Linked DNA regions of Coturnix japonica. The protein of the gene in region 1 purifies or fractionates together with the protein of each later gene. This does not show direct contact. Links are inferred from orthologs where the notes say so. Each region holds a gene or a part of one and is shown on either strand. Other genes may lie near its edges. The genes, in order: RPA2, CDC45, CDK7, ATR, RAD52, TOP3A and ATRIP.

What was found.
Region 2: the proteins of RPA2 (region 1) and CDC45 purify together in Homo sapiens (affinity purification with western blotting; 3 studies listed by BioGRID and IntAct, with this or other methods). This does not show direct contact. The link is inferred for Coturnix japonica from reciprocal best matches to the Homo sapiens genes RPA2 and CDC45.
Region 3: the proteins of RPA2 (region 1) and CDK7 purify together in Homo sapiens (affinity purification with mass spectrometry; 3 studies listed by BioGRID and IntAct, with this or other methods). This does not show direct contact. The link is inferred for Coturnix japonica from reciprocal best matches to the Homo sapiens genes RPA2 and CDK7.
Region 4: the proteins of RPA2 (region 1) and ATR purify together in Homo sapiens (affinity purification with western blotting; 3 studies listed by BioGRID, with this or other methods). This does not show direct contact. The link is inferred for Coturnix japonica from reciprocal best matches to the Homo sapiens genes RPA2 and ATR.
Region 5: the proteins of RPA2 (region 1) and RAD52 purify together in Homo sapiens (affinity purification with western blotting; 3 studies listed by BioGRID and IntAct, with this or other methods). This does not show direct contact. The link is inferred for Coturnix japonica from reciprocal best matches to the Homo sapiens genes RPA2 and RAD52.
Region 6: the proteins of RPA2 (region 1) and TOP3A purify together in Homo sapiens (affinity purification with mass spectrometry; 4 studies listed by BioGRID and IntAct, with this or other methods). This does not show direct contact. The link is inferred for Coturnix japonica from reciprocal best matches to the Homo sapiens genes RPA2 and TOP3A.
Region 7: the proteins of RPA2 (region 1) and ATRIP purify together in Homo sapiens (affinity purification with western blotting; 5 studies listed by BioGRID, with this or other methods). This does not show direct contact. The link is inferred for Coturnix japonica from reciprocal best matches to the Homo sapiens genes RPA2 and ATRIP.

The regions. Positions count from the first base shown.
Region 1 is NC_029538.1:1,359,341-1,363,507, reverse strand, and holds the start of RPA2 (replication protein A 32 kDa subunit), read left to right. Parts: upstream 1-1,367; 5' UTR 1,368-1,479; coding exon 1,480-1,495; intron 1,496-1,582; coding exon 1,583-1,677; intron 1,678-1,865; coding exon 1,866-1,967; intron 1,968-2,100; coding exon 2,101-2,214; intron 2,215-2,647; coding exon 2,648-2,722; intron 2,723-3,064; coding exon 3,065-3,178; intron 3,179-3,492; coding exon 3,493-3,600; intron 3,601-3,778; coding exon 3,779-3,873; intron 3,874-3,987; coding exon 3,988-4,072; 3' UTR 4,073-4,167. Other genes in the region: SMPDL3B (acid sphingomyelinase-like phosphodiesterase 3b), read right to left, coding at 1-15, 949-1,220. UniProt on the Homo sapiens protein: As part of the heterotrimeric replication protein A complex (RPA/RP-A), binds and stabilizes single-stranded DNA intermediates that form during DNA replication or upon DNA stress.
Region 2 is NC_029530.1:517,913-522,191, forward strand, and holds the start of CDC45 (cell division control protein 45 homolog), read left to right. Parts: upstream 1-1,479; 5' UTR 1,480-1,561; coding exon 1,562-1,612; intron 1,613-2,534; coding exon 2,535-2,594; intron 2,595-2,879; coding exon 2,880-2,972; intron 2,973-3,388; coding exon 3,389-3,526; intron 3,527-4,042; coding exon 4,043-4,186; intron 4,187-4,279. Other genes in the region: UFD1 (ubiquitin recognition factor in ER-associated degradation protein 1), read right to left, coding at 379-411, 722-854, 1,046-1,159. UniProt on the Homo sapiens protein: Required for initiation of chromosomal DNA replication. Core component of CDC45-MCM-GINS (CMG) helicase, the molecular machine that unwinds template DNA during replication, and around which the replisome is built.
Region 3 is NC_029547.1:13,177,188-13,181,260, reverse strand, and holds the start of CDK7 (cyclin-dependent kinase 7), read left to right. Parts: upstream 1-1,273; 5' UTR 1,274-1,370; coding exon 1,371-1,430; intron 1,431-1,610; coding exon 1,611-1,670; intron 1,671-2,482; coding exon 2,483-2,516; intron 2,517-3,205; coding exon 3,206-3,273; intron 3,274-4,022; coding exon 4,023-4,073. Other genes in the region: MRPS36 (28S ribosomal protein S36, mitochondrial), read left to right, coding at 331-348. UniProt on the Homo sapiens protein: Serine/threonine kinase involved in cell cycle control and in RNA polymerase II-mediated RNA transcription. Cyclin-dependent kinases (CDKs) are activated by the binding to a cyclin and mediate the progression through the cell cycle.
Region 4 is NC_029524.1:8,876,009-8,879,508, forward strand, and holds part of ATR (serine/threonine-protein kinase ATR), read right to left. Parts: intron 2,954-3,500; coding exon 2,801-2,953; intron 2,676-2,800; coding exon 2,477-2,675; intron 1,872-2,476; coding exon 1,612-1,871; intron 1,232-1,611; coding exon 1,041-1,231; intron 968-1,040; coding exon 867-967; intron 565-866; coding exon 393-564; intron 1-392. UniProt on the Homo sapiens protein: Serine/threonine protein kinase which activates checkpoint signaling upon genotoxic stresses such as ionizing radiation (IR), ultraviolet light (UV), or DNA replication stalling, thereby acting as a DNA damage sensor.
Region 5 is NC_029516.1:52,087,154-52,090,653, reverse strand, and holds part of RAD52 (DNA repair protein RAD52 homolog), read right to left. Parts: intron 3,231-3,500; coding exon 3,094-3,230; intron 2,491-3,093; coding exon 2,410-2,490; intron 1,918-2,409; coding exon 1,672-1,917; intron 1,146-1,671; coding exon 1,084-1,145; 3' UTR 1-1,083. UniProt on the Homo sapiens protein: Involved in double-stranded break repair. Plays a central role in genetic recombination and DNA repair by promoting the annealing of complementary single-stranded DNA and by stimulation of the RAD51 recombinase.
Region 6 is NC_029529.1:5,110,334-5,113,833, forward strand, and holds part of TOP3A (DNA topoisomerase 3-alpha), read right to left. Parts: intron 3,272-3,500; coding exon 3,163-3,271; intron 2,860-3,162; coding exon 2,716-2,859; intron 2,387-2,715; coding exon 2,216-2,386; intron 1,993-2,215; coding exon 1,892-1,992; intron 1,754-1,891; coding exon 1,679-1,753; intron 1,573-1,678; coding exon 1,490-1,572; intron 1,381-1,489; coding exon 1,173-1,380; intron 1,031-1,172; coding exon 845-1,030; intron 379-844; coding exon 249-378; intron 1-248. UniProt on the Homo sapiens protein: Releases the supercoiling and torsional tension of DNA introduced during the DNA replication and transcription by transiently cleaving and rejoining one strand of the DNA duplex.
Region 7 is NC_029527.1:2,068,318-2,072,380, reverse strand, and holds the start of ATRIP (ATR-interacting protein), read left to right. Parts: upstream 1-1,263; 5' UTR 1,264-1,666; coding exon 1,667-2,272; intron 2,273-2,995; coding exon 2,996-3,166; intron 3,167-3,305; coding exon 3,306-3,421; intron 3,422-3,753; coding exon 3,754-3,917; intron 3,918-4,063. Other genes in the region: protein BTG1-like, read right to left, coding at 598-947, 1,039-1,156. UniProt on the Homo sapiens protein: Required for checkpoint signaling after DNA damage. Required for ATR expression, possibly by stabilizing the protein.

The DNA.
Region 1 (4,167 bases):
TGAGGAGTATCATCCCTGGAACAGCAGATAGAACATAGACGTTACTTGTGACTATCAAGGCACGTGGGCAGAGCAAGGCACTGAACGTGCACCTGAGCCTTGTTTTCTTCCTTATCTCATAGGAGATAAAGTCAAGGTCTTTGGGGTAGGAACTTGCACTGTGCACATGGGCTGAAGCAGAGAAGCAGGAGGAAATGGCTCCAAGTGGAAAGCTGCTCCGTTTGGTTCTACTTTATATGTGGGCACTAGAAGCAGGTTTATCCCATTTCAGCACATTTATCCCATTCCAACGTGTTTAATAGATGCTACAGCTGAGTGGGGCATCACGCAAGAGAATATAATGCAACCTGGGGTCAGAACTGGATAACAGCAGGGAAGCAAAAGCTGCCTGCGTTCAATAGAATGAAACAGAATTGAAAAGGAACCCAATGAATGCTCCAAGTAAGGTGAGGATTTAACATGGCTACAGCCCATGGCAATAGACAGGAGGCATTTAACAGCTAAAGCCCACGGCAATAGATAGGGGGCATTTAACACAGCTAAAGCTGAGTCTATGGTAATAGACAGGAGGCATTTGACACAGCTACAGCCCATAGCAATAGATAGGGGGCATTTAATACAGCTAAAGCTGAGTCCATGGTAATAGATAGGAGGCATTTAATGCAGCTAAAGCCTATGGCAATGGATAGGGGGCATTTAACACAGCTAAAGCCCACAGCAATAGATAGAAGGCATTTAACACAGCTACAGCCCATAGTAATAGATAGGGGGCATTTAACACAGCTAAAGCTGAGTCCATGTAACAGACAGGAGGCATTTAATACATCTAAAGCCCACGGCAATGGATAGGGGGCATTTAACACAGCTACAGCCCATAGCAATAGATAGGGGCCATCACTTTGGGACTCAGCCCGCAGGGACTCAATACAATCGGTGCTGTTTCCTCACCCCGTCCATAGCACAAAGTCCGGCCGTGCCCGCAGCCGTTTCATGGCGCTCACAGCGGAGCTGAGCAGCGCCCAGGGCGCATCACATTCGTAGCTGCCCCACGGTCCCCCCGGTCCGGATCCCCCCGACGGGCAGCGCTGCCCGGCCGACAGCGCCTCCTCGTAACCGGGATCCCAGTGTAGGTCCGTCAGGTGCCAGAATGTCCCCGCCATCACCGCCGGCTGCAGCAGCACCAGCAGCGCGGCCGCCCGCACCGTCACCGCCTCCATCATTGAACCTTCACCTGCACGGCCCGCCCCGTCGGGGCACAGAGCCGGGCAGCGCCAGCAACCAACATGGCGGCGTCGGCATCAGCACCGCCGGAAGAAGGAGGGATGTGATTGGATCTTAGCGCTGGAAGAAAGAGAGAGGTGATTGGATCTCGCTATCGGAAGCTGGCGGAAGACGGAGGGCTGTGATTGGCTCCTGGTAGCGGGGCGCGGGACGCGGTGCTGGAGGAGCGGGTGGCTCCGCAGTCGGTGCTGAGGCGCCATGTGGGGCGGACACGGTGCGGGACGGGCGGGTGTGGGGGGATGTGGGGTGTGGGGTGTGAGATGGGTCTGCGCAGCTCACGGCTCCGATCATCCCTTCACAGGTAACTTCGATGGCGGTTACGGCCCCGCGGGGGGATACACGCAGTCACCGGGAGGATTCAGTTCACCAGCGGGCGGGCAGGCCGAGAAGAAGCAGGTAGGGCTGGGCTATGGGGCTGGGCTATGGGGCTGGTTATGGGGCTGGGCTATGGGGCTGGGCTATGGGGCTGTGGGGCTGGGTTGTGGGGCTGTGGGGCCGGGCTGTGGGGCTGTGGGGGCCGGGCTGTGGGGCCCGGGCTGTGGGGCTGTGGGGCCCATCACGTCCCCCTTCACCCCCCCCCACAGCGCAGCCGCTCGCAGAGCATCGTGCCCTGCACCGTGTCGCAGCTGCTGGCAGCCGAGCAGGTGGACGAGGCGTTCCGTATCCATGACGTGGAGATCTCGCAGGTGGGCACCCCCTATAGTCCCACACCCCCGTATAGTCCCACACCCCCTATAACCCCACACCCCTCTCCCATTAAGCTGGTTCTGATGGGCCGCTGGTGTCTCACCCCGCCCCCTGACCGCCCTCCCCCCGCAGGTCACCGTGGTGGGCATCGTTCGACACGCAGAGAAGGCGCCCACCAACATCCTGTACAAGGTGGATGACATGACAGCGGCACCCATGGACGTGAGGCAGTGGGTTGACACCGATGTAAGCAATGGAACCGTCCTGAGGTGCTGCTATGGGGGTAAAACAGTGTGTGAGCTGCATCAATGGATGTCCCTGTTAGAGCCAGGCTGGGTGCTGCGGTAACAGTGATCAGTTGGCAGTGAATGTGGCTGGAGATGAACAGCTGCACTGAGCTGAACAACTGGAAGTAATTAAAGAGATTCTCAGTTGGTTTATCTACAGGTTTGCCATAAGATCCTGTGACTGCTCCCAGAATGCACAGCTGGCACTGATTGCTGTCAAGCCGACAGTGCATCCAAATAAGGATTTCCCATCTGTAGCTACATTTACCTGACTGCTTGTACTGATTGAATGGGTGTCGTTTGTGTTTGATTGAGATAGCAGTCCTAAAGTTGTTTAGTATGATAACTGAGAGATGGATCAGCAGCTCTTTGCTTTCTCCTTTCTCTGTAAGGAGGCAGGTAGTGAGAATATCGTGGTGCCCCCAGGAACTTACGTCAAAGTTGCTGGTCATCTTCGGTCTTTTCAGGTAAGGTCATGTGCGACTCCACAACAAACAAGGCTGGGGCAGCAGCATAAAGGGTTGGTGATGTGGCAGAGCAGGAACAATAATCACAGCATGTTATATAGGAGTCAACTCATAGCAGTCATCCTTGAGATCATGCTGTATGTGTTAAAGCAAAGAGCAATTGCCAGCTGGATCAAAACTTGCCCAGACATGGGCATTTAAGTTGAAAACCTTTGCTAACTAAAGGCAGATGGACTCCCCACCCGCTGCTGCTCCTGTTCCTAACTAGAGTGCTTAAGTTCTATGGCAACCATGTTCCTGTTGCTCCCCTGTTAATGGTATTTGCTGTCTTTTCTCTGGAAGAACAAGAAGAGTTTGGTGGCGTTTAAGATCATGCCTCTGGAAAACATGAACGAGGTCACCACGCACATACTTGAGACTGTTAATGCGCATATGATCCTCAGGAAGAACCTTATGGTGTGTAGTTGAAGGTCATGGTTCCATTACAGCTGTTACTGGTGATCTAAAGGGAGGGACCTCTGGGTTCAGTGGGAAACTGTGCAAGTTGTGGGTCTGGAAAGGCTGAAGGGCTGCAATGGGGTGTGATGAGAGTCTTGATTTCCATTGAGAGACATTCTCATTGCGGCCAGTTTTACTTGGTTTCTGTTGGAAATCTATCTTTAATTATTATGCCTCTGAAAGAAGGCTAAGTCCTTCATGTCCTTCATGCCTTGGGTTTGCAGCAGCCTGTGCACAACAGTTCTTTTATTCAATTACTCTTGTAATTGCAGTCAGCATCAAGAGCACCTCAGTCGTTTACCTCTGTTGGAATGAGTGACGTGGGGGCCTATGGTGGAGGCAGCCTGCCTGTCAATGGACTCACAGCACATCAGAGTCAGGTGGGTGCCAGCACCTTCTCCAGAGCACAGCTGACACAGTGGGTGCTGCTGCTTTGTGTTGTAGGACCAAGAAATAAAAGCTCAGTTATTCTTGGAAGGCTGATAATCCTTTTTTGGCCCCGCTGTTCAGTGCTGATAGAGCTGAGCTGTGTGCTGATGATGGTTCACGTTCTTCCAGGTGCTGAACCTGATTAAAAACTGCCATTCTCCAGACGGGATGAGTCTCCAAGAGCTGAAACTTCAGCTCCACAATGTCAGCATACCAACAATCAAGTAAGTGTGTAGAAGCTGATGTTTTTGGGGGCGTCAGGTCCCACGTAGGTGGGAAATGGTTGAGAGGAAGGCATTGATGTGAGCCAGGTACTAATGGACTTCTTTCCTTCCAAGGCAAGCAGTTGAATTCCTTAGCAGCGAGGGACACATCTACTCTACTGTGGATGATGATCACTATAAGTCTACGGATGCTGACTGAAGCTCTTTCCACCTGGATTTGCTCCCAGCCAAGTGCTTCTCGGTGTCTCGAATTAACCTGCTGAGCTTTGCAACTTGGAAGGTGATGTTTGCTTT
Region 2 (4,279 bases), on another chromosome or scaffold:
TTATTTCAGCTTCTCAAAACTACAAACCCAGGAGGGAATGGAGATCCAGAAGCACTGAACTGCCTTTGTACTTGGGGCTTTAATGCCTCCATTTACACGGGGACTGGGGATTAGCAATCACATCACCCTGAGCTCAGAGATGAGCCAGCACTGGGTATTATTTCAGTACAGGAATTTATTATTGTTGGTCCTGCTGCCAACCCAACTGCTCACCGACACAAAACCCCACAGCTACGCTTTCTAATGACCTTATCTCATATCCTTTATTTGATCGGGCCCAAACAGACACCCAACGTGCCGTGCTGTGTGGTGCCGTGTTTGTACTTCTGCTCTTAGTCTTTCCTAACGCTGTTACGCCAGAAGAAAACATGCACTTACTGAGCTGATCCAAAGCAGACGGCGGCATAATTACTGCAGGTAGGAAACAGAGAGTAACATCAGGACAGTCAGGGCCGTGCAGACAGAACGGAGCTCAATTCCGCCGGCACCGCGACCACGTTCGTTCTAAGAACTCGCACAGATTCGTTTCACAGTAGGAAACCGCGGGGGATCAGTCACAGCTCAACGGGCCGTCGGGGCGAACCCGAACCAGCACCAAGGCCCGGCCGGTCCCGCCCCATCCCCCGTCCCGGCCCCGCTCGTTCCCCGCCCGGTTCCGCCCCATCAGCTCCGCACCCCGCTCAGCTCAACCCGCCCCGAGTCAAAGAAAACAGACACATACTCTTCCCTCCTTTCTCCACATCTGACCTGTCATTGGGCCCGGCCAACATGGACACGGAGAAACAGCGGTACTGAGTGGAGAAACGGTTCTGGAACACGCGGGGGATGGGATGGTCGAACATGTTGAACGAGAACTGCGGGACAAACAGCCGCGTCAGCACGGCCCGTGTGCGGCCCTGACTGAGCGACACAGCCGGGCGGCGTCATTACGGCCTTATTAATTACGGCCTTATTAATTACGGCGTTATCACGGCGTTATTACGGTGTTATCACGGTGTTATCGCGGCCCTGTCCGCCCCGTTCCCGCCCCGTTCCCGCCGCTCACCATGTTGGCCGCCCGCCTCAGCTCCCTCAGCCGCTCCCGGTGCTGACGCCGGACGCGGCCGCTGCGCTGCCGGACGCCGCTGATCCGCCCCCGGCTCCGCCCCCCGGCCGCCATGTTGGATGAGGGCAGGATGCCGCCGGTGAGGCCGTGCCGTTGTAGCCGTTGCTATGGCGGTTTGTGAGCGCTCAGCCCGCCGGTACCGAACGGAGCCGCCCCGGCCCGTGCCGGAACAAGGCGCGTCTGCGGGCAGAACGAACAAACTGCCCTCGACAAAGATGGCGGCAACGGCAACTGAGCCCGGCGCGGCACTTCCGGCCCGCTGCCATTGGCCTGCCTCGCCGTCGCGTCTCCCTTGCACAGATCTCATTGGCGAACACCCGATGGCGGCTCGCCCAATCCGCGCTGCGAATTAGCGACGGCCGCTTTTCCAGTGGCCAATGGGAAGCGGCGCTGCTTTGGCGCCCACTTTGAGCGGCGCGGCCATCGGCGCCGTTCCCTCAGCGCTGCGCTGCCGCCATGTTCGTCACCGACTGCCGCCAGCAGTTCTACGATGTGATCGTCAGCCAGGTGCGGCAAGGCCGGGACGGGCCGGCTCCGGGAGCGACCGGCTCCGTCAGCGCCGGGACCGAGGCGGCTGCTCCGCTCCCGAGGGGCCGTGGGGGGAACGGGCCGCGCTGTGTGTAAGGCCGGGGAGGGTTGTGTGCTCTGCAGGCCGTGCTTTGTGGTGCTCCGGTCTGCCGCGTTCCTGCTGCTCTTTTGTTTAGCAGAGGCAGCTCTAGATTTGCCTTTAAAAAAAAAATAAAAAAAAGATTAACCTTTTTAAAATCTCTTGTTAACCACCGCAGTGTTGCACGCCCAGACGCTGGATCTCGTACTCTCTTTAGTTTACCCTCAGTCCCGCTTTCCTCTTAGCCTGGTTTTGCCCCTCGGCGATCCGCGTCCTGAAGCGGGAAAGCTTCCCTTCCCTTCCCCTCCCTTCCCTGGGGCGCTGCGCTGCGTTCTGCCCGTGTTACTTCCACAGTCCGTGCGATGGAAAGTGTTTGAACCTTAAAACAAAAGCTGAGCTACCTGGACATGGTCTATACCAGGCGCTGCCTCGGTCCTGTTTTTGCTCCAGGCTTTCTTAGTTCGAGGCCGTTCAGATGCTGTACTAGAGCTGTGCCTGTTTGAGGCGCACACAGCGGCTGTGGAGCTGCCCGGCCCTGACCCGGTGCCGCAGCGCAGGACGCCGGGTGCTGTGATTGCACGGGCACTTTTGGGCTGTGATTTCACCGCTTTAAGCGGGGCTGCTCGTTGTTCACACTTACCGGGATCCAAATGGTTTATTTTGCTGCAGTGCCTGTTTAGATCCAGTCCTGTTCCGTGCTTATAGTGATCTCTGCTTCAATTCCTCCCTTTCTCATCCCACGGTCACTCATTTTGTGTACTAGCTCACTAGATCTGTCCCCTTTGTTAATATGTCAATACTGTTACTCTATTATTTCTGCAGAGGGTTCTTCTTCTTGTGGCCTCAGACGTTGATGCGTTGTGTGCTTGTAAAATACTCCAGGTAAGTGTTTGTTACCTCTGCGGGCCAACTCAAAAAAAGTCACTGGGATTCTTTGAATGGGTTTGAACTCAGAAAAGGGGAAAAGTTGAAACTGATTCTGTGAAACGTTTTCTCCGTGAGTCCCAGTGTGGACACGCTGTAAGCCGTGCTGCCACAGCCGCTGTCAGCTTGTCAGTTTGGCCATCTTCAAGATAAAGATGGGTATGAAATGGAGTTGTAGTGCAGTGCAGTGATGCAGAAGGGATTGTTTGGCGCTGTAGCTGACAGCTGTTTGCTTCATTTCAGGCTTTATTTCAATGTGATCACGTGCAATATACACTAGTCCCTGTGTCTGGATGGCAAGAACTTGAAACTGCCTTTCTTGAGCATAAAGATCAGGTAAAAAGAGAAGCTGCAGCTCATTGTGTATAGAAATTTATTTCTGTCCTTTCCCCAATTTAAAATGGCAGCTCTTCATGTAATTATATTATTTCTTACCTCAACACGGCGGTTAAGTTTTAATATTCTGCTTCCAAATTTGTTGAGGTATTTTTTGTGATATATGTTTTTTAATATCAGCTCATTTCTGATCAGTTCAACCTGAGCTCGCACAATTTTGGGATGTGGAAGGTGGTGGGACTGGATGTCCAATGTCTGAACTTAAACATGGTCTGTTGTCTTGCACGTTTTTTCCTTCTTAGGGTCATGTTGGTTTTGGCAGCAGTGAGTGCTCTGTGCTCTTGTAGAGGTCTTTGTAGTCTTCCATGTTTCCCACTAATTAAAATGAAAAATGTTTGTTTTGGTTCTGTTTGCAGTTCAAACACTTTGTTTTTATTAACTGTGGTGCTAATGTGGACCTGCTGGAGATCTTGCAGCCTGAAGAAGACACTTATTTTTTTGTGTGCGACAGCCACAGACCCATCAATGTAGTGAATGTTTACAATGAGACACAGGTGAGCTGAGCTTTTCCTTCAGCTTGTGTTGTAACAGACTGTGTGTTCTGTGGGCTGGGGGTGCCTCAGTGCTATTCTGTGTTTGGCAGAACTGCTTGCAGTCAGGAAATGACCGTTACTGATGCAGATATCCAGTAATACTGGCAGAGCAAAAAAACTGCTGTTTTGAGCTCCTAAAACATACACTGTTAGTGCTGTGATGGCTGTCTGGAGAGTTCTCTTCCTGCAGCTCACACTGGTACAAATCAGAAGATAAGCGGAGTACGGTGTGTAACAGCCTCAAGTTCTTTCATGCCGTGCTCTAACTATGATTTCATTGTGGAAAACGAATGCAGTTTCTACTCTTAGGCTGGATAAATAAGCGCGGTCTTCATATAAACACAACTACTGCTTCTTAACACTGGGGTGGATAACAGCCAAAATGAGTTTTGGGTTTCTCTTTTGAAGTATCTGAAGCTTTCACATTTGTTGTTTGAAAGGATGCTTTGCTGAAAAATGTGCCTTTATTCTCGTTAGATTAAACTGTTAGTTAAACAAGACGACGATCTCGATGTTCCTGCTTATGATGATATCTTCAGAGATGAAGAGGACGAAGAAGAGGACTCAGAGAATGACAGCGATGGCTCAGAACCGTCAGATAAACGCAGGCGTTTTGAAGAGGTTTGTTTCTGGTGCTTCATTTTCTAAGTTAGGAAAATAAGCCAGACATAAGAAGTCCTTGGAGCAGATTAATTAACAGCAATAACATATTGG
Region 3 (4,073 bases), on another chromosome or scaffold:
AAGCTACTACTACGGCTGTTTGTCTCATCTTTCCAGAGTCACTAAGTGTCATGTTTCTTCCAACTGAGAGGATAGGGAGCAGCTGCAAATATAGGTTGCAGAGGTTTTTATATTGTTTATATTATTCCATCAGGCACAATAAGCTATTAATGACAGGCAATGATTTTTCTGACATGTAGCATGTTCCATTACAGATTAAAAATCAAAGCGTAAAAATGAAGTTAAATCTAGGACTTGTTTATTAATCTATAACTGCAAAAGAAGACTGGATATCAATTTCCCTTTCTTTTAGAGGAAAATAGTTAACTCTGTCTATTTTTTGCTTTACAGCGTGGAGGTCCAGAATAAGTACGGAAGATATTTGCCACCAACAGATATCACCACTGTTGAAGAAAGAAGTATTGTGTTCATCATAAAAGCTTTTCCTTAATATTATAAATAATGGTATACTGATAGCTTTAATAAAAACCCTATGTGAAGGTGTAAAGGTTGACACAGCACTATTAATTGGTGATGAGAGATTTTCTGTTGATGACTAATAGCAAATGATGGCTACATCATTAGAGTATTTTTCTAACTAGCCATTCTATGAATTTGGCAGTAGAACAAATTGAGTTGCTTTATTTTCCTTGTTAACAGGTCTTTTCATGGCTGATTTCATGGGCAAGATAGACACACTCAGAGACTCCAGAATGGCTTGATTTGGATGGAACCTTAAAAACCATCTATTTCCAGCCCCATGCTGAGGGCAGGGCTGACACCCATTAGATTAGGCTGCCCATGGCTCCAGCTAGTCTGGCCTTGAATACATCCAGGGATGGGGGCATTTACACCTTCTTCAGACAAACTCTTCCAGTTCTTTGACTCCTTCCAACCCCCAACACGAGTTGATAGTTTTCCCCTACCATCTGATCTGAATATCGCCTCTTTTAGTTTAGAACCATTTCTCTGTGTCCTGTCATCATCAGACTATATAAAAAGTCCTACGATGTCCTGTTTATAATAAGCTGCTTTTAAATAAGTTAATTCTCCTGAAGTTCAGGATCCCCACTCTGCTTTTTGTCAGGCCCCCGTTCCTCATGATCACAGACTCAGCCAGGACATGGTTTAACCTCCTTAATGAGCTCTGTGGGGCAGCTGCCCGCTCCGGAGCTAATCACACACAGCCATCAGGGCACGAGCAGCATCGCACAGCGTGTGCCGGGCCGCAGCCCTCCTAGTACCCGCCTCCGAGCTGACGGCATCAGGCTGCGCGCTCATGGTGCAGGTAGGCGGGTCTGGAGGCGGGCGCCGATAAAGGGCCGTGCTGCTCTTCCGTTGTGCCTCGTTCTCCGGCCTTAGGGCTGTGCTGCTTTTCCCAGCTGGCAGCCATGGATGCGCGGGCTCGTGCTAAGCGCTATGAGAAACTAGACTTCTTAGGGGAGGGACAGGTGAGCGGCCGGTGGGTGCGGTGTGGCCGCCGGGGCCCTCTGAGGGGCGGCTGGGTGCGGGAGGGAGCGTGGCTGGCCGGGCCGATCGCCCTCCCGCTCACCCACCGTAGTGACTCTGGCTCTGGGCTGTGGGCTGCCCTGCCGCCGTGGTCACGCGTCTCTTTCTCTCTCTCCCTTTAGTTTGCTACTGTGTATAAGGCAAAGGACAAGAACACGGGTCAGATCGTTGCTATCAAAAAGGTGAGTGTTGGAACACCCCGCTGTGGTGTCACTGGGAGCCTTGTCCTGCACGGTGCTTCTGTTGAACTGCTGTCGTGTGTAGTGTGTGAGAATTCACAGGATTGGTACATTGGAAAAGAAGATCATGTAGTCCATGGGTATCCAGCCTTAATGTCCTGTGCTACGCTGGGAGAGGTGGAATTGTGCTGGACTGAAAACAGTGCCTCCATTTTACTTCTGTGGAAACTATAGCAGATAGAGCACACTCTAAGTTACCAAGAACTATTTTTCAGCATAGACACCACCGTTAATTAGACATTTTCACTAGCAATGAGCTAAAGCCTGCGTGCTGTGTTGCCATAAATCTGTATGAGTGGGGATGACTTGCTGTTGCTGTCACCTGAGCTGAAATTCATCACCTGCTCCCTCACTTTGCTCACACTTACTGTTTGATCTCCATAAATGTTCAGCAAGCTTCTATGAATGTTATTAGGTGCCATTTTTCTGCATGGAGAAATTCAGCAACACACTTTTGCTTCCTCTGTGCATCCATGTCAGATGTCGTTTTGTCAGAGTACCCCCCGCTGCCCTTTTGTCAGATAACAACACCATGTAATGGGAAGGTTCAGCCTCTTACTGCCATGCTAGCATCCGCCTCTGACATCATAGACCACTAACATAGGAGGCATTACTTGCAGAGCAGCCCTTGTAAGATATTCAGAATTGTTAATGTATTTTAATGAACTTATTTTAATCTTTTTTTTTTTAATTAAACAACTAAACTGTTGGGGATTGTGACTTGACCTTATATAATATGAGGCACTTATTTTCAGATTAAACTGGGACATCGATCAGAAGCTAAAGATGGTAAGTGTTAAAACAAGTTCATGCTGTATAAGCTGTCTTTGTTTGTTTTGCTTCTGCTGATTGGGTGATTGATTCCTTCCCAACCTAGAGGGACAGAAAAAATAACATCCGAAATACAGCATTCTCATACTGTATGTTTAACTGTGCGTATATGACTGTTTAGGTGGAACCCAATCACAAGTATAGCATGGAATAATGATATTGGCTTGCATACTTTTTTTTCTGAATATAAAAAATATGTCCACATGAAAGCGGACGTTGTCTCTTTTTTTTTTCTAAAGAAGGAATTAAAATAGGCAGAGTATCAACTAAGCCATCAAGATCTTTGCATCTAAATCTTCGCTGGAATCTTATATGTTGAATGAAACCACCATGGAAATAACACTGTTTTTCAGCTCATGCGTAGGCAAAACATCTTGCACAACATAATGCAGTAGTGTTTGCTTGCCAGTAAGCCAAAGGGATGTGTATTTTCCTTCATAATCTATATCTTCTAGTTGTTATTCATACCTTGCCTGCAGCAGTCTATGTATTTGTGACAGTCTGCTTGGCTTTAACAAATACATGAGTGCTGAGGAAAAGGACTGTAATATTAAGTAATCAATGAACAACAGAATAAGAGGTTTCTTTGCTGGAGTTTAACTTGAAATTATTAATTATATTCTGTTTAATTATTTTTTTCAATATAGGAATCAACAGAACAGCGCTGAGAGAAATAAAATTGTTACAGGAACTAAGCCACCCGAATGTTATTGGTGTAAGTACAGTGAATTTTTGCTGCAGAGACTGGCTTCAGAGAAGGTAAAACTGCACTGGGAAAGGGATCTGGAACAAGGGATCTGAAGTAAAAAAGGCTGCGCTTGTACTGGGGAGCTGCCAGCTTGTGGGTTGGCTCCTGAGTCAGCAAGGGTGGAGCTGGCACATTAGCGGCACAGTTTAAACTCTAGTCCTTATTGTTTGCACCTGATAACAAGCTTAAAGTATCCTAGGGTGAGCTACCAGGTGAGTAACCATTGTTGCTGCCCACTGAGAATGGGGAGGTTCAGTGAGTGAGCACAGCCCACACTGCCCATACAGTGCTGTGGATGTGGATCAAGTGGTGATGAATGTAAATGTTGTCAGTCTGTGCTCAGGAGACTAGCTTTCCTCTTGGAAAGTCTCTGGGACTGCAGGCCTAAACATGTTCTCTATCAGAAAGCAGGTTTATTCCAGAAAGATTTTGGCAACCCAGACAGAGGGCCTGCCCAGAAATGTAGCTGTTCTCTGGCTGCAGGGAGTGCCTGAGCCTGCTGCTGCCTGGGGAGGGTGGCAGGGATTCCACCTGTGTGAGGTGTGAGCAGGTGGATTAGGGTTCCTCTTGATGATGAGGTCTAGGCAGTGAGTAGCCCTGTGCCTGTTTGTCTCTGCCAGTAAATTGAAAATGCACATGCAAACTAAAGTAGAATGGAATTTTAGGAAACGGGAATTATGAGAGTGTCATTCATCATAGCACATTTTGTTTTACAGCTGTTAGATGCATTTGGACACAAATCTAATATTAGCTTAGTATTTGATTTT
Region 4 (3,500 bases), on another chromosome or scaffold:
AAGCAGAATTTCTGCCTTTAGGAAATGCTAACCGTGGCATGATTATGCCTGTAATAAAGTTTGACTTAAATTCCTAGTTTACATTCTAGCCTCCAATGACAATGGTACCATATAATGCAAGAACATATACAGGTCCTCTATGTCAGCATTAAGGCACCTAGGGAATAGAAGTGAAAATCAGTGCTGAGAAGGGAGAAGACTAATGACAAGATCAAATACTTTCCACTTTTTCCATAAAGTGTTGTTTTTTTTTAAACTTTAAATAATCTCTTTCCTACCCTAAGAGATTTCATCTTGTAAAATAAAGTAATATTTATCTTCAGTAACATTTTCAAAACACAGAACAAAAACTTGAATCAACGTCTTTATAAGTCACCAACTCTTATTTTTACCTGACAGATAGGTTTCTTGTACTGACTGAAAAAAGCTTGTAGTTTTATGGACTTAGCTGCTGCCAGGGACCGAATTTCTGTGTATGCTGCTCCAGCCACAGAGGCTGACTTGGACAACAAACAATGCAACAAGTGCAGGAGGGCAAATGGTATCAAATCTCCTTTTGATGCCCTTAAAAAGCAAGCAAATAAAAAGTAACTAGAACAAAAAAGTCATTGCACGAACAAAATGTCTTAACAATAGGTAATCACCATAATGCTAAACAACTCTTCATCGCATATCAATAGCTAGACTGTACCTGCCATAGTACCACTAAAACAGAATGCTGTAAATTTTATGTGCTTCAGAAGCTTACTACAGTTGCAAAGGACTTTGGACAAAGGCTGATCTCCAAGTAAGTGAACTTAACAAAAAGTTACCCATCTCACAAACTGAGAGTACTTAGCGTTTATCACTGTATTGTCAAAAATTACCTTCCAATATCTCCTGTTGTGAGAATCAAGGTATCTTTAAGCTCATTATTCCTTGATATTTTGGCATGTGTATATGCTTCTTTCATTCTTGAAACAAAGAGCTAAATCACATAAAAACAAAACACATTAGTAAACGAAGTAGAGAAAAACAACAAAAAGTAAATATGAATTCACCTCTTTTATGAATCCTTCTTCAGAATCTAAGGATTCTAATATGTTCTTTATGCAGTCACTGAAAGCCACTCGTACATCTTTGTCTGGATCTTCCATTAAATTTAATAAAGACCCGATGAGAACCTTCACACTTGACTCATCACTGTTAAAATCCAGATGTTTGCAAAGGTGAGGTATGTTTTCTATAAATGCTATGGAGGAAAGAAAAAGATACTTTTTAATTAGTTTATCTTTTAATTTATTTTTTTAAATAAAACAATGATAGAAATAAGCACTGAAGCACACACTTATTTCTGAAAAGAGTAAATATTGAGAAATTAAAAAAGTTATTCAAAATTTAGATTTTATCAAGTATTACTTTCCTGGGTGTTGCCACAAATTAAAATTAACCACAGCAGTTTAAAAGGATTATCATAACTTCTAAAATTGTCACTGATTTCAACTGAAATACAACATTTCAAGCAGCAGCTTAGCTACAAAAAAAGAAACCAATGACAAAACAAAACCACCTACCCAAAGCAATATATATTAAAAAAGGAATGTACAGAAACGTAGTAAAATAAAATCTTACCTAGTTTTACCAAACTGGATACTTTGTTCTCAAGAAGAATAAGAAATGGCTTAAAAACAGAGGCTTGCACAGAAGAAGTTTTTTCATGAGCAGAAGGCACAATAAGGCTGTTACACAAAATATCGCAGGTAACATGCTTTATAGCAGAGCCTGCTAAAGGAGGCTGTATACTGAATGTACCAGAAAGGCAGCAAGATAATTTCCCAATAGTAGCAGCACAAGCCTCCTTGACTAGATCAGACTCATCTTGAATTTGATTTCTGAAATTGACATAAAAACAAAAACATTTTAATAAATTAAGCAATCTATTAAACACTAAAATTTACATATCTACATTGTCTGGTTTCTCTAACTAAATTGTCCTGCTGTTTTCTCAATATTAGGATCTGCTTTACTAGATAATAGCTTTCCTTTTCAACTAAGGTCAAGCTTATCTGAAATGTCTGAAGCCATACTGGCCCATAATGTGCTTGGAACATTATAAATCAACTAAAGACCATAGACAGTAGAACAGAAGAGGGCAAAAAACAGATACAGAAGGAAGAAAAACTGGAAAGATTTTTAAAAGATATATGTACAAATACATATTTTACTGACAAAGACATTTCTCTTCATAAGTTTTTATTTATTGTTTAGAAATAAGGCCTTCAAGAAGCAAAGAAACTTGTATACTGATCTGGTATGTAAATGCTAGCCTATCTTCATGTATACACATTCTGTTGATATCTCTTATGAGTTCTAAAATCTAAGTCTACTAAATTCTGCATGAAATACAAACAAACATTTATTTCAATCTTTATAATTAATTCCTTATACATGCAGTTTTCTTCATGCATGAAAGATAAAAGATAATATTAACACATACAAAAGAGCCTTTGGAATCATACTGAAAGACTGCACACTTGGTGGATGAAGCAGGAAAGAGAATCCTTTAACACATGTAGCCCGAACTACTTCATAGGGACTTTGTAGTGCCCAATAGTAAATGGATTTTCTCCAATCCAGATGAATGTTTCTTGGGAAGAGAGATAGAAGGAACACACAGCGTGACTGAGTTTGAGGTGCTGAAGAAAAAAAACAAAAACATTACTTATTGTCCACTATGAATATTGATTCTGACAAGGCAAAGAAAGCAATTTCACCATAGCACAATCATTTCTGAGAGACTTACATAATTTAACATACTTACAAAAACTTTGTGCAGTTTTTCGACTCAAAACTAGAGGATCAGTTCCAAAAGCATATGTTTTAAAAGAAGAATCATCAGGATGGCTGCAAATCCAGGGTAGAGACAGCAATCCACATATATCATCAAGAATCTGATCATTCAGTGGAATTTTTACTAGTGAAAGGGTTTAAAGAAAAAAAAAAAAAGACATATTTCATGTAAGCTAACTAAGATGCTTCTTATGTTTTTTTCCCTATCAACAAATAATAGCATTGATACCCCCAAATGTTGACATTCTACATATCAAAAGATATCAAAATAATATAAAAGCCTCATGAAACAGCAGCAAGTAATACACGAGCAGGAGAATACACATAACCTTGGTATCTCTGGATTTGCATAAAGGCTTTCAGATGGACTTCAGAATGGCTAGTAAACTGAACTCACAATGCCACTTGAATCTCAGAAAACTGCCTCTTTTCCATACTCCTAGCTTCTCCAAAAAACACACAAGACAACTGACCACCCTACATGAATTCCTCATGTTTTTGTTACACTGCTAGCATGCCAAGTTTCAACTGAAGTAATCAGAAGCTTTGAAATTTTTGAGTGAAACAAAGATAGTTCAGCACTCCACTTCTGCGTGTTTAAGAAAATCAATTTTTGAATGAAGGTTACTTTGTTACACATATTCACTTTCTCCACGTAGTCTCTTGTTGAG
Region 5 (3,500 bases), on another chromosome or scaffold:
TCAGCTCCCCCTTCCAGCCATGCTGCACCATCCTGCTGCTGCTGCTGCGTAACACAGAACCAACTTCCCCTCTCGAGCCCTGCATGGCTCAAGCTGCTTCAGGCACAGAGGGCGCTGCCACCGCTCTGCTGGTGGTGCCCAGCACCTGCCTGAGGCAGCAGGGGCTGCAAAGCTGAGCCCCTTCACCAGGAGAGGGAGAGATCCAACAGCTGCCCAGCAGAACTGTTGCCTCACCAGAGCAGGGCCTTTCAAGCTGGTACTGCCTAAACGCGGCTTGGAAGGTCTTCCTTTGAGTTTATTACTACGAGGAATAGCTGTTGCTTTGCTCTGAGCTTGTGGAAGTGAATAGGAAGAAGGTAGAAATAACAAGTGGTTTGCCTGTCCAAATTTAGTGTTTATTCTTGTGTTAAAAAGGAGTAAAAGCTTATTTAAAACACTACAGGTAAAAAAAGGGGCTCTCATTCATTTCATAAAGGGTCCAAACAAGTGCTTAGATGCTGTATGTACTCCTCGGTAGCAGTCCCTTTGTGTTCCCGCCCTGGTGCTGTGTGGGCTTGAGGGGTGAGCTGAGGCAGAGCTGTGTCAGGGCGATGCTCTGCCCCTCCTTGTGCAGCCTCTGGGCAGGCAGCTGGGCTGCATGTGAGAGGCAGAGGCTGCCACAGCTGCAAACAGCCTGAGGGAATGGGACACAGCAGTTGGTTGCTTTCCTGGGCCTGGAGCCCACCCTGTCCTCTTTTTATTGGGGAAAACTTTTCTGCATGCCAAAATGCGACGCTGAGCAGGAAAGCAGCTGTGGCATCTCGTTGGAAGGTTTACTTATGCTATAATTTTCAGGCAAATTCTTAGCAAAACAGCCACGGGTTGTGCAGGGGCACAAATGATTGTGTGTTTATAGAAAAAAAAAAGTCTGGACATTATAATAACCCCAAAGCACACACAGTTCTTGCTGGCTGTGCCTCTCTGGCTATTCTGTGTTGCTTCAGGACAATCTATTAATAGATGCAGCTTCCTCACGTACTTTGAGCAGCCAACTGCAGTCTTATGATGTAATCCAGCATGTAGGTAATGATGCCGCTGTGTGTCCTATGTAGGTTCCAGCCTCCGTTTCTTCCAGCTTTGACTTCTCCTGTGAGGGCTGCGCTCTGCTGCACAGGGAGACAGAGAGTGAGAAAGGGAAGTTCCTTAAAGCTTTTCTTTGGAAGAGTGGATAACAGCAAGACAAGAGGAAACAGTTTTAAGTTGAAGGAGGGAAGTTCTTTACTGTGAGAGTGTTGAAGTGCTGGAACAGCTGCCCAGAGAGCTTGTGGATGCCCCATCCCTGGAGGTGTTCAAGGCCAGGTTGGATGGGGCCCTGGGCAGCCTGGTCTAGTATTAAATGTGGAGGTTGGCAGCCCTGCCTGCAGCAGGGTGGGATGGAGATTCATGATCCTTGAGGTCCCTTCCAACCTGGGCCATTCTGTGATTTGCTTCTAAAAGTACTCATTGATTTATTTTTTAGCTCTTCCCTGAGAAGACAGTTGGATGGAAAGAGTTGTCCTGTCCCGCTATCACAGCACTCCACACAAAAAAAGGGATGTTTCTCCCCACTCCAGATTACTAATCTGACAGCAAAGCTTTCCAAGCCAAGAGCCGCTGTTGAGAAAGAACTCAGTCATTTATCACAGCGCATACCTGGTGTGTGTTGGTTGGCACCGTAGCTGTTGCTCGCGAGAGCAGCAGATGGCTGCAACTGTGCAAACCTGGCAGAAGGTTTGTGATGATGCGTTCTCTGAGGCGTCCTGTTACGAGTTGTCATCTGGTGACATCCGCGGGGCGTCTCAGGGGGCTGCTGTGCCGCTGCTGGGCCTGCTGCTTTGTGACACATCAACTTGTTAAGGTCGGTTGTCTCCAAGGAAATGTCCCAAAGTTCAAGATCATCTAGAACAGATGAAAAGATGATGGAACCAAGAGGAACTCCAGGACCAGCCCACACTTTTCCTACAGTGGTGGCCACTATAGGAGTTAAACTGTAAGGTATCTTTTATGTCAGTGCAAAAGCAGAAAATGAACTTCAGCAAGGTCCATGCGCTGCGCTGTGTGACCCAAATAGCTGGAGCTGTGTTAAGAAAAGGCACTTTCCCTCCCCACCCATGTTCTGTTTTTGTGAAGTGTCACCAGAAAAGAAGAAATTGCCAAATATGTCTACCGGTGCTCTACTGAACAGCATAGGGTAACACTTCACATACTGATGGACATCTCATCTATTGCATGTTCTAACATTGTTTTCCTGCCATTCAAGCAAGGTTAGTACTGCTAAGGTCAGACTCCCACTTGTACTCCAACCTCTTCACAACTTCTACCATTACACGTTGAAGAATTAATCTAAATACCAACGATTCAATATGCTGCTGTTCTTTACTCTTGGCTGACCTGCAAAGAACTCTTCTTCGATTGCCAGCTCCTGTTGTGCTGCTGCCGGAGTGCTGTGTTTTACGGGAGGATTGGCTGTTGCTGTACAGAGGTAACACAAGAAGAGATTAAAGTCTGAAATACAGAACTCTTCTGTTCCTGCTTAGCAGACAGACCATGAGTCTGAAGTGATTGCTCCCAGGTACCCCCTTTTCCCACAGCTGCTTAGATTTTGGAAGCAGTATATACAATAGTATGGATGCTGCTGATGACTAGTGAGAGCAACTGCAATACTATCAATGCTTTTACCCCATCCCCATGTTCCTGCTTACCACATATCTGTCCAGACTTCCCACAAGTGAAAAGTAACCTACCAGCAGCTCATGCAACGTCTGCTTGCCTGCAGCCACTTCAGTGAAGCACTGCAGCCTCAGCTCTGATGCAGCACAGTAATGGTACAGGTGACAGTGGCTGCACTGCACAAAGCTTTGGCATGGTTGGAAAGCTGCAGTTTTAGTGATGTGGTTTTAGAGCCGCTTTAAGAATGTAGGGACAGGAGTGTGAGGATCTTCCTTTCTTCCGTCTCAAAGGAGTTTAATAGCACAGTATAAAACAAAAGAAACTGATCAGGCTCCCATACTGAGAGTAACACTTGTCTGCCAGCAGCTACCATTAAAACTGTCAGCTTCTAATGGCCCATCTTACCCTGTTTGCTGCTGGGAGTAACTTCTGCAGCCTGACGTCTCTTCTCCATCTGTTCCCGGAACTGTTGCTGCAGCTGCTTTTGTCGCAGTTTCCGCTGGTACGTGGCATCAAATTCAACAGCTGGGGAATCGGTATTTCTGCCCCAACCCCGGGTAAAGACAAAACAGGAGTTCAGTAACTCTATTTTTTGACGAAACATTCATACTAATATATAATAACTGCAAGAAAAGTCCTCTAAACCAATACTGTATGGCATCTTTCAATTTGGACTGTTCACATGCTTCGAAGGGGACGGTAACTTCTAACTTCCTCAAGTACTGTGCTCAGTTTTGGGCACCTCAGCACAGAAAGGGCATGGAGGTGCTGGAGCAGGTTCAAAGAAGGGCAACAAAGCTTTTGAAGGGCTT
Region 6 (3,500 bases), on another chromosome or scaffold:
CCCTGGACCCTAAACTTCACATCCCCTTGGGTAATGGAGAGACAGTACAGTCTTGTTAGTTTCACTGGATGCTGCCCACAGGTTTCTACTATCTCTCTGCTCTGTATATTTAAGTGACTTCTCATCTGAAGTGATGTTCTGAGAATCCCCTACTCTGTGGGCTGGAAAGAACTAGTACTAGGGAAGTTGAGGAGATGCTTATGAGCAAAGCTCTCTCAAGAGTGAAAGGCCACACTGCCAATACTGACCAATGCCATGTTTCTCCATGAGTGCAATGAGATCCGCTTCCGTGAGGAGCAATGGAGGGCTGGTTTCCCCATCCACCATCTCCACTGTAGTGGGCTGAAAGCGAGACCCTTTCTGATACAGTGGGATAACCTGAAGGGAAGGAGAATCTCTTTGAAACTGTCTTCTGGACCATCCACTGAAAACAGCTGTCACACTACCAGCAAGTTGGTGCAGTAATATAGCAGCACTCTGTTCTGGAGGAGACTGAGTCTTGGGATGCTCAGGATTAGCCAGTAAAAACCTGCCAGAGACACCACACAACAGCAACTGCAGCTCATCTTGGTGAGTATCCCTCCCCACGTGGAAGCAGCCCTGTATGGTCTCTGCTGCGGTGTCAGAAAGGGAAGAATCTATCCAAAGCTGGCATAATTAAGTGGCACTAGTGTTCAGCAGAGAGAGTTCTAAGTGAAATAGCCAGTGTGTTAAGAATTGTCAAAGGACATTCTCTAGATGGGCCTGAAAGTGGCAGGGAAGCTTTCCCATTAGTACAACCCATCTGCAGTTTTAAAGTCCAGGTATTTTAGGCAGTCCCATCTACACTGTTCAAGGATGTTACCTTGTCACTCCACTTCTCATAAGGATAAACCTCCAGATAATTTCGGGCCAGGATCATAAGTCCTTGAGCAATGAATCGCTCGTTAGCAATGTCAATCTCCACAGTTGTTTCCTGTCCCTTGGCATCTTGAGAGCAGCAAGCCAAAAAATGGCGCACAATGAATTCATATAGTCTCTGTTCGTTGCCCTGTTATCAAACAGTAAGAGTTACTCTCTTCTAGTATTAGCAAGATATTAAGAAATATTAGTGAATCTCAGGTGCGGATACTGTGCTAACAACTATATTATAGTATTTCTGTCTTTATTTTATCAAGCAATACTAAACTTACCTGCAGGTTAGCGGTGTATTTTGTGGGGTGAATGGGAGGGTGAGCCTGGTCTGATTTGGTTCCATTCCGAGGGTTCGGCCCACCCTGATCCAAGATCCTCTGTGCAAATGCTCCCCAGTTGGGGTCCTGTGTTTGTTGTTGTATTAAGGCAGAGAGGTTCAGCTCCTTGGGGAAAATGTTGGTCTCTGTTCGGGGATAGCTAATAAACCTTAAGAAAGACAGAAGGGAACTTCAAGAGGTGCTTGAGGATGATTTGGACTAACAGTCACATATTTTTGAAATAATTAAGTTTACCAAGACAAAGCTTGTTTCCTTACCCTTGAGTATAGAGTTTTTCTGCTATTCTCATGGTTTCCTTTGCATTTATTTTCAGTTTACGGGAAGCCAACTTTTCAAGTTCCTGTGTTGGGAAGAGACAGAAAAAAATGTATTTGTGAACTATTCTGAGTAAAATAACTGTTTAAAGCTTATTTTAATTAATCTTATAATATATAGTTCTAACATACCACAGTGTCCAGGGGCAGGGGTCTCCATTTGCTCTTTGGCTTGCTTCCAACCTCAACAACAGTGGCAACAGGATCCTAAATAGAGAGTAATCAAAATACAAGATTTCCTCGAAGATTTCACACAGACAGTTCTTTAAACATCTTGAACAAGAAGGATGCAGGACATGTTTGGCTGATATTAGATCATACGTCTTTTTTTACAAGTTTTCCTACCTCCATACACATGTGGTAAAGAACCAGGCACGCTGTGTGATTAAAGAGCCGGTTCCTCTTCCAGTTGAAGACCACATTGCCATCTTCGTGATCATGTGTCACTGTGTTGAAAACCAGATCAGAGTTATACAGTAGTAATATAGTTGAAAACCAGCAGAGGCAATGGGACCATGCTACTAGGAAACCTTTCCACTTTCTGCTTAATGATAATGGCAAGGGAAATCACTTCTGCAGCATTGTTTGTTAGTTGCCCTGAAGTTTTTCCTCTCCAAATACATTAAACCCTTTAAAATGGATTACTGCGCTTGTTTTCCTCCAGCATACCTTTGATTTTATAGAAGGCTTCAGGGACAAAGGCCTGGATGGCTTTAAAGCGCTCAACTACGAACCCCAGAGTTGGGAACTGGCAACTGCCGTAACTGATCAGCTGATCTGCTAAAACCTCAGGGAAAATCTTCCGGAGCCTCAGGGTCTGGAATCTGGTGAAAGCAGCACCTGAGAAAACAAAATGGATGCTAGAACTGAATAGTTCAGCATTAATTAATTAATTAATTAATCAGCATCAGCTGATTAATCATAGGTTCAGGCTGTGATTACCAATTTCCCATACACTGAGAAGTGAGGAAGTCTGATAGCTAGCTGTCTAGTTTCTAAAGCAATCTAAGAGTTCAAGTGTTTATAGAAAATAAGCTACATGTTGATGACAGACTGTAAGCTGTCTGTCCCCTGCCTTTTTACCACACTCTTGCTCACTTGCTTTCAAGGGTATATGCAGCAGCTCAGGCCTAGCAACCAGCTCTCATCTCCAAAGCATGTTTACTTACCTATCCTGAGGTCCAGCTCCTGCCTGACTTCAACAGCATCACTAGTTTTTTGATCTGGTTGGGTGAGATTCTCACAGGCCCTTCTGACAGCATGAAGTGTAATCTCTGAAAAACGTGCTCGGAATACCTGGAGGTTTGGCTTTACTATCAGACAAAAAAAATAATAACCAGAATGACTCATACAGCAATGGAAAGCATGAACTAATATACTGCTGCTGTCTTTAAAAGTGTGTGCTGTCAACATATTTTGTATCTTTCCAATGTATTAATGTATTTCTGGTGTATCAGAGCCATGTATTTATCGTAACTACAGCCAGAAGATTTGACCTGGACATGTAAGAATGACAACTGAGTAAGGATGATATCTGTTACTAGATCTGAGCAGTGATACCTGTTAAATCATCATTTTAATGGAAAACAGATTGATGCAACAGATGCTCTACACACCAGCTTTGCAGACATGAATGATCTCAAAACCGATGTTCTCTCCTTCTCGATCGCAGTCAGTCCAGATGACCAGAGCTTGGCATTGCTGGACCTCTCGTTCAAGGGTTCTCTGAGACAGAAAAAACTCTGAATGAGACCTACTCAAGCCACTTGGTCTGACATTTAGTTTTAGAATGACTCACTAACTGAACACGAAATGCAACATGTATCCATAGCAATGAATTGTTGCAATAACATTTTGCAATGGTAACTCTCGGGAGATTAGACAGCTTTCAAAAGAAATGAATCATTTATTTACTCTCTGTTAAAAAGCACTGCTTGGGTTGGATTGTACCACA
Region 7 (4,063 bases), on another chromosome or scaffold:
AACTAGAAAGAAGATAGACAAATCCCCCAACCCCTGTCAGAACATTGGGGCGTGATGAAACGCGGCTCCAAATGAACACGTGCCTTGAAAAAGGTAAAAAATACTTGAGTGATTTGTGCCCTGCAGCCAAACTGGAATGACCCTGAGAAAAGTCTGTGCAGACAAGTCAGTGGAGATCGATGTGCAGCTCCTGGCTTCTGTGTTAATCCCCTTTGTGTTATTGCTTGCAAATGGAGTTTGGTTTTGTTGTTTTATTTCAAAAACAAAGTGTTCATCTGGACTACAAATCCACCATGAGTCGCTACAACGTGGCTTTTTATTACAAATACCAGAATCGCCTCGAAAATAGAAATGTGTAAAACAATCAGCCGTCTGTACAGTGCATTTACAGTACATGGTCCAGAGGAACACGCGGATCCAAGACCCGCTTTAGCCCTTGGCCACACAGCATTGGCAGTACGATACAACCCGAATGCCACAGGGTGAAACTACCATTAACTACTCGTTAAAAAAAACACCAATCGAGAGACCTCGGTTACAATGGAGTTTATCACACAACTGGGATACGTACAATAGCTGTACAAGAAACAGCAGCTTCTAACTAGAAACAGTCATCATGTTGTAACTCTCGGACGGGCTGGACCGGCCAGTTCTCCACTTCTTACAGCTGTTCCTGCTCTCCAGGGGTTTACTCGCCTTGGCCCCGGGCTGTGGATTCTCATAGAGGACGCAGATGGAGCCGTCCTCTCCTATCCGATACGACACCTCGAAAGGGTCGACCCAAAGAGTCAATTCGTTGGGCAAGAGCTGGAACAGTCTCTCGTGGCTCAGTCCGATGGTCGCCGCCGCTTTGCCGATCAGCGGGTCCATCTGGTGGTTGATCCTAATGCACCGATACCCGGAGCCTTTGGTGGGCGCCGTGGGGAACCAGTGGTGCCTGTAGTGTTCTACGGGAGGGAACAAAGAGCGGCGTTAGTGTCAGCGTTACAGCCCGTCCGTGCGCCGCGGGCTCGGGCCGGGCCGTGTCCCCCCGCTCACCGCGCAGCGCCTCCTGCAGGCGCTCCCTGAAGCACCGCAGCTGCTCGTCACCGATCCCGCCGGCGGCCCGCAGGAGCCGGGTGACGAACGCCGCGGCCGTCGAGATCTCGGTTCTCATGGCCGCTCGGCTGCCGCTCGTCGCCGTTCCGGCCCGGCCCGCCGCTACCGCACCGCACCGCTCCGCCCGGGACAACGCTCCGGCCAATGGCGGCGTCGCGCAGCGACACGTCACAATGACGCGTCCCGCCCCGCGCCCCCCTGCGACGGCAGAACAGGATCCCCATTGGTCGAGATGGGCGAGGGGCGGGGCTTACGGGACACCGCGAGCGGCCATTGGGCGGCGCAGGAGACGGGCCGTGTTTGTTTTGCTGCTGAGCGGCGCGGTGACACGGAGTAACGGGACGGGGTGTGTAACCATGGTGACAGCTTGGGGCCTTGAGCGGCCGCCCGACTGCTGCTGCTATTGGGAACCGGAATCACACCAACACTATCCAGGCTCCGAGCTGTCCCCGTCAGGGCTGTGCGTCCATGTTAGTGCGGCGTTACGGGAGCTCACAGCTGGGGAACGTCACGGAGCAGCGGCAACAAGTGACGTAGTATTTCCGTATATCGAGTATTGCCGCACGGCATGGCGCGGTGTGACGTCACTACGTCAGCGTGGCGTCACTACGTCGGTGTGACGTCACTCATCCCACCGCCCTGCCCATCCAATCAGCGAGCTGCTCACAGCGCGTCACGCGGCGACCAATGGCGGCGGCGCTTGACCCTCGGGGGCCGCCTTAGGTGCGGTCTGCCATTGGCCGGGCAGGAGGAGCTCTCGCCGCTGATTGGCCACGGTTCGTCGCGCGGGTTCCCGTCCGTCGCGCGGCGTAGCGGTGCTGCCGCCATGTCGTTGCAGCTGCCGTTCGTTCCGCGGAAGCGCAGCGGTACCGACATGTGCGGGCCGGGCCGGGCGGCGGGACCCGCTGCGGACAGTGCGCTGCGGAACGGGATCCCGCCCAGCAAACGGCACAAGGGGCCGCCGGGGAGCGGGGCGGAGGAAGATCCTTTCGGGGACAACGACGACTTCACGGCGGACGATCTGGAGGAGATCGACACCATCGCTTCCCAGGCGCTGTGTGAGCCGCTGTGTCCGGGTGTCACCGCGCCGGGCCCGGCCCCGCACAGCGCTCAGCTCACAGCGCCCTTCCAGCTGCAGGTGCTGCGGGCACAGCACGACGATACACGGAGGAAGGTCAGAGCACATGGGAATATAAGGGGGGATCGGCCGCGGTGCTGGGCCGGGAGGGTCGGGATCCGCGCTGGGAAAGGCTCTGAGTGGGAACGGCACAATGAGTTTGCGGGGTGTGGTGCCACCATTGCCCAGCAGCGGGTGCTCATCTGTCGGCTTTCATCTGTCCTGTCAAACCCGGAGCAGCGCTGTGTCCTTCATGGTTTGAAAGAAGAGCATTTAAGGGGATGGGGTCACTGAGCCTTGTGGAAAGGCACCGCTTAGACCACACCATCATCACCTTAAAGGCCCTTTAAGGCCTTTACTTTAAGGCCCTCCAACCTTCTGCAGTGTGCAGGGACATCACAGCTCTATCGGTGCTCACAGCCCGCTGGGTGTCTGCAGGGATGAGGCACCACCACCTCTCTGGGTAACCTGTGCCAGTGCCTAACCACCATCACTGCAATAACTTTATGTCCATTCTAAATCCCCCCTCCTGTAGCTGGAAACCATCTCCCTCAAAAAAGGGATGGAAGCAGTGCAGAAAAGCCCACCGTCAGACACCAAAACACTGTAATTCTATTAGAGAATGTCACGGAGCCTGATTTAATAAGGAAAAGAAATAGAAGCCAGACTGTGGGATATCTAAACTGAGCTGTAGCAACACACTCCATCTTTGACCACATAGAGAGCAATACAGATACTAAATGCTGAATGTGCTGCTTAATGGAATTCATCTCTTTGCAGCTGAAAGAAATGCAGGATGAAATTCTTACTAAAAATGGAGAAATCAAAGTTCTGCGTGACTGGATGCAGCAGATGGAGCGTGAGATGGAGGAGCAGAAGAGGTCGTACGTGCTGTTGGAACAGCAGCAATCTCAGGCCCTTGGTGAAAAAGAAAGAGAGTTCTCCAAAAAGGTTTGTAGCTCAGTCAGTCACCTCAACACAACACACAGAAAGAAGCCTGCAACCTTGAGATCTTACAGACATTTGCTTTGCAGTTGGATTAACACTTGCCTATTCTGTAACAGTAAAACCATCTCCTTAATTCTTCCAGTTACTGTCACTGCAGTCAGAGTTGCAGTTCAAAGATGCAGAAATGAATGAATTAAGAACGCGACTTCAGAACTGTGAAAGAAATAAGCACGTCACTCAGACGGTTGTGCCACAAAGGTGTGTATGGGGGTTTGGGGAAATAACCTGTGTTTCTTTTTGTTCACACTTGAATTAGGACAGATGTTTCCTGTCTCTGTGTGACTCTTAGGTCCATTTCCTTGAGAAAATACAACCAAAACCATTCTTTTGACCTAAACAGATGCTGGGACAGAAATGCAGGGGATGTAGAGTGAAGTACCTCTTTAACATCAGTACCAAGAAAGCTATTAAATAGATCTGTAATAAAATAGAAATAGATCTTTAATAAAATGCTCCCAAAACAGACATTGGTTCATTGGAGCTGGAGGGGAATTTGTTGGTATCTTGTTGTTTTCGTTTATTTTTTGTAGCCCTAAAAAGAACGTTGCAATCCAGATGAAATCAGAAGGGTGTCCTCCGCAGCCTGGAAAAAGGTCTTTTCCTACAAAAGAGTCTTTCAATGCTGAAACTGCTGCCAGACCCTCTTCTTCTTCTTCAGGAAACTGGTTTGCACAGACAGTTTCCAGCAAGGAAGGTAAACATGAACACAACTTGCAGTATTTTTAGCTGCTTGTGAACATTCTGCCTTAGATTCAGGTTTTGGCCCAGTGTGACCCAGCAGTTCCAGTAAGGTCAGGGCAGGAACAAGGGTGGTTCTTTCGGTATGACATTGCTTACATT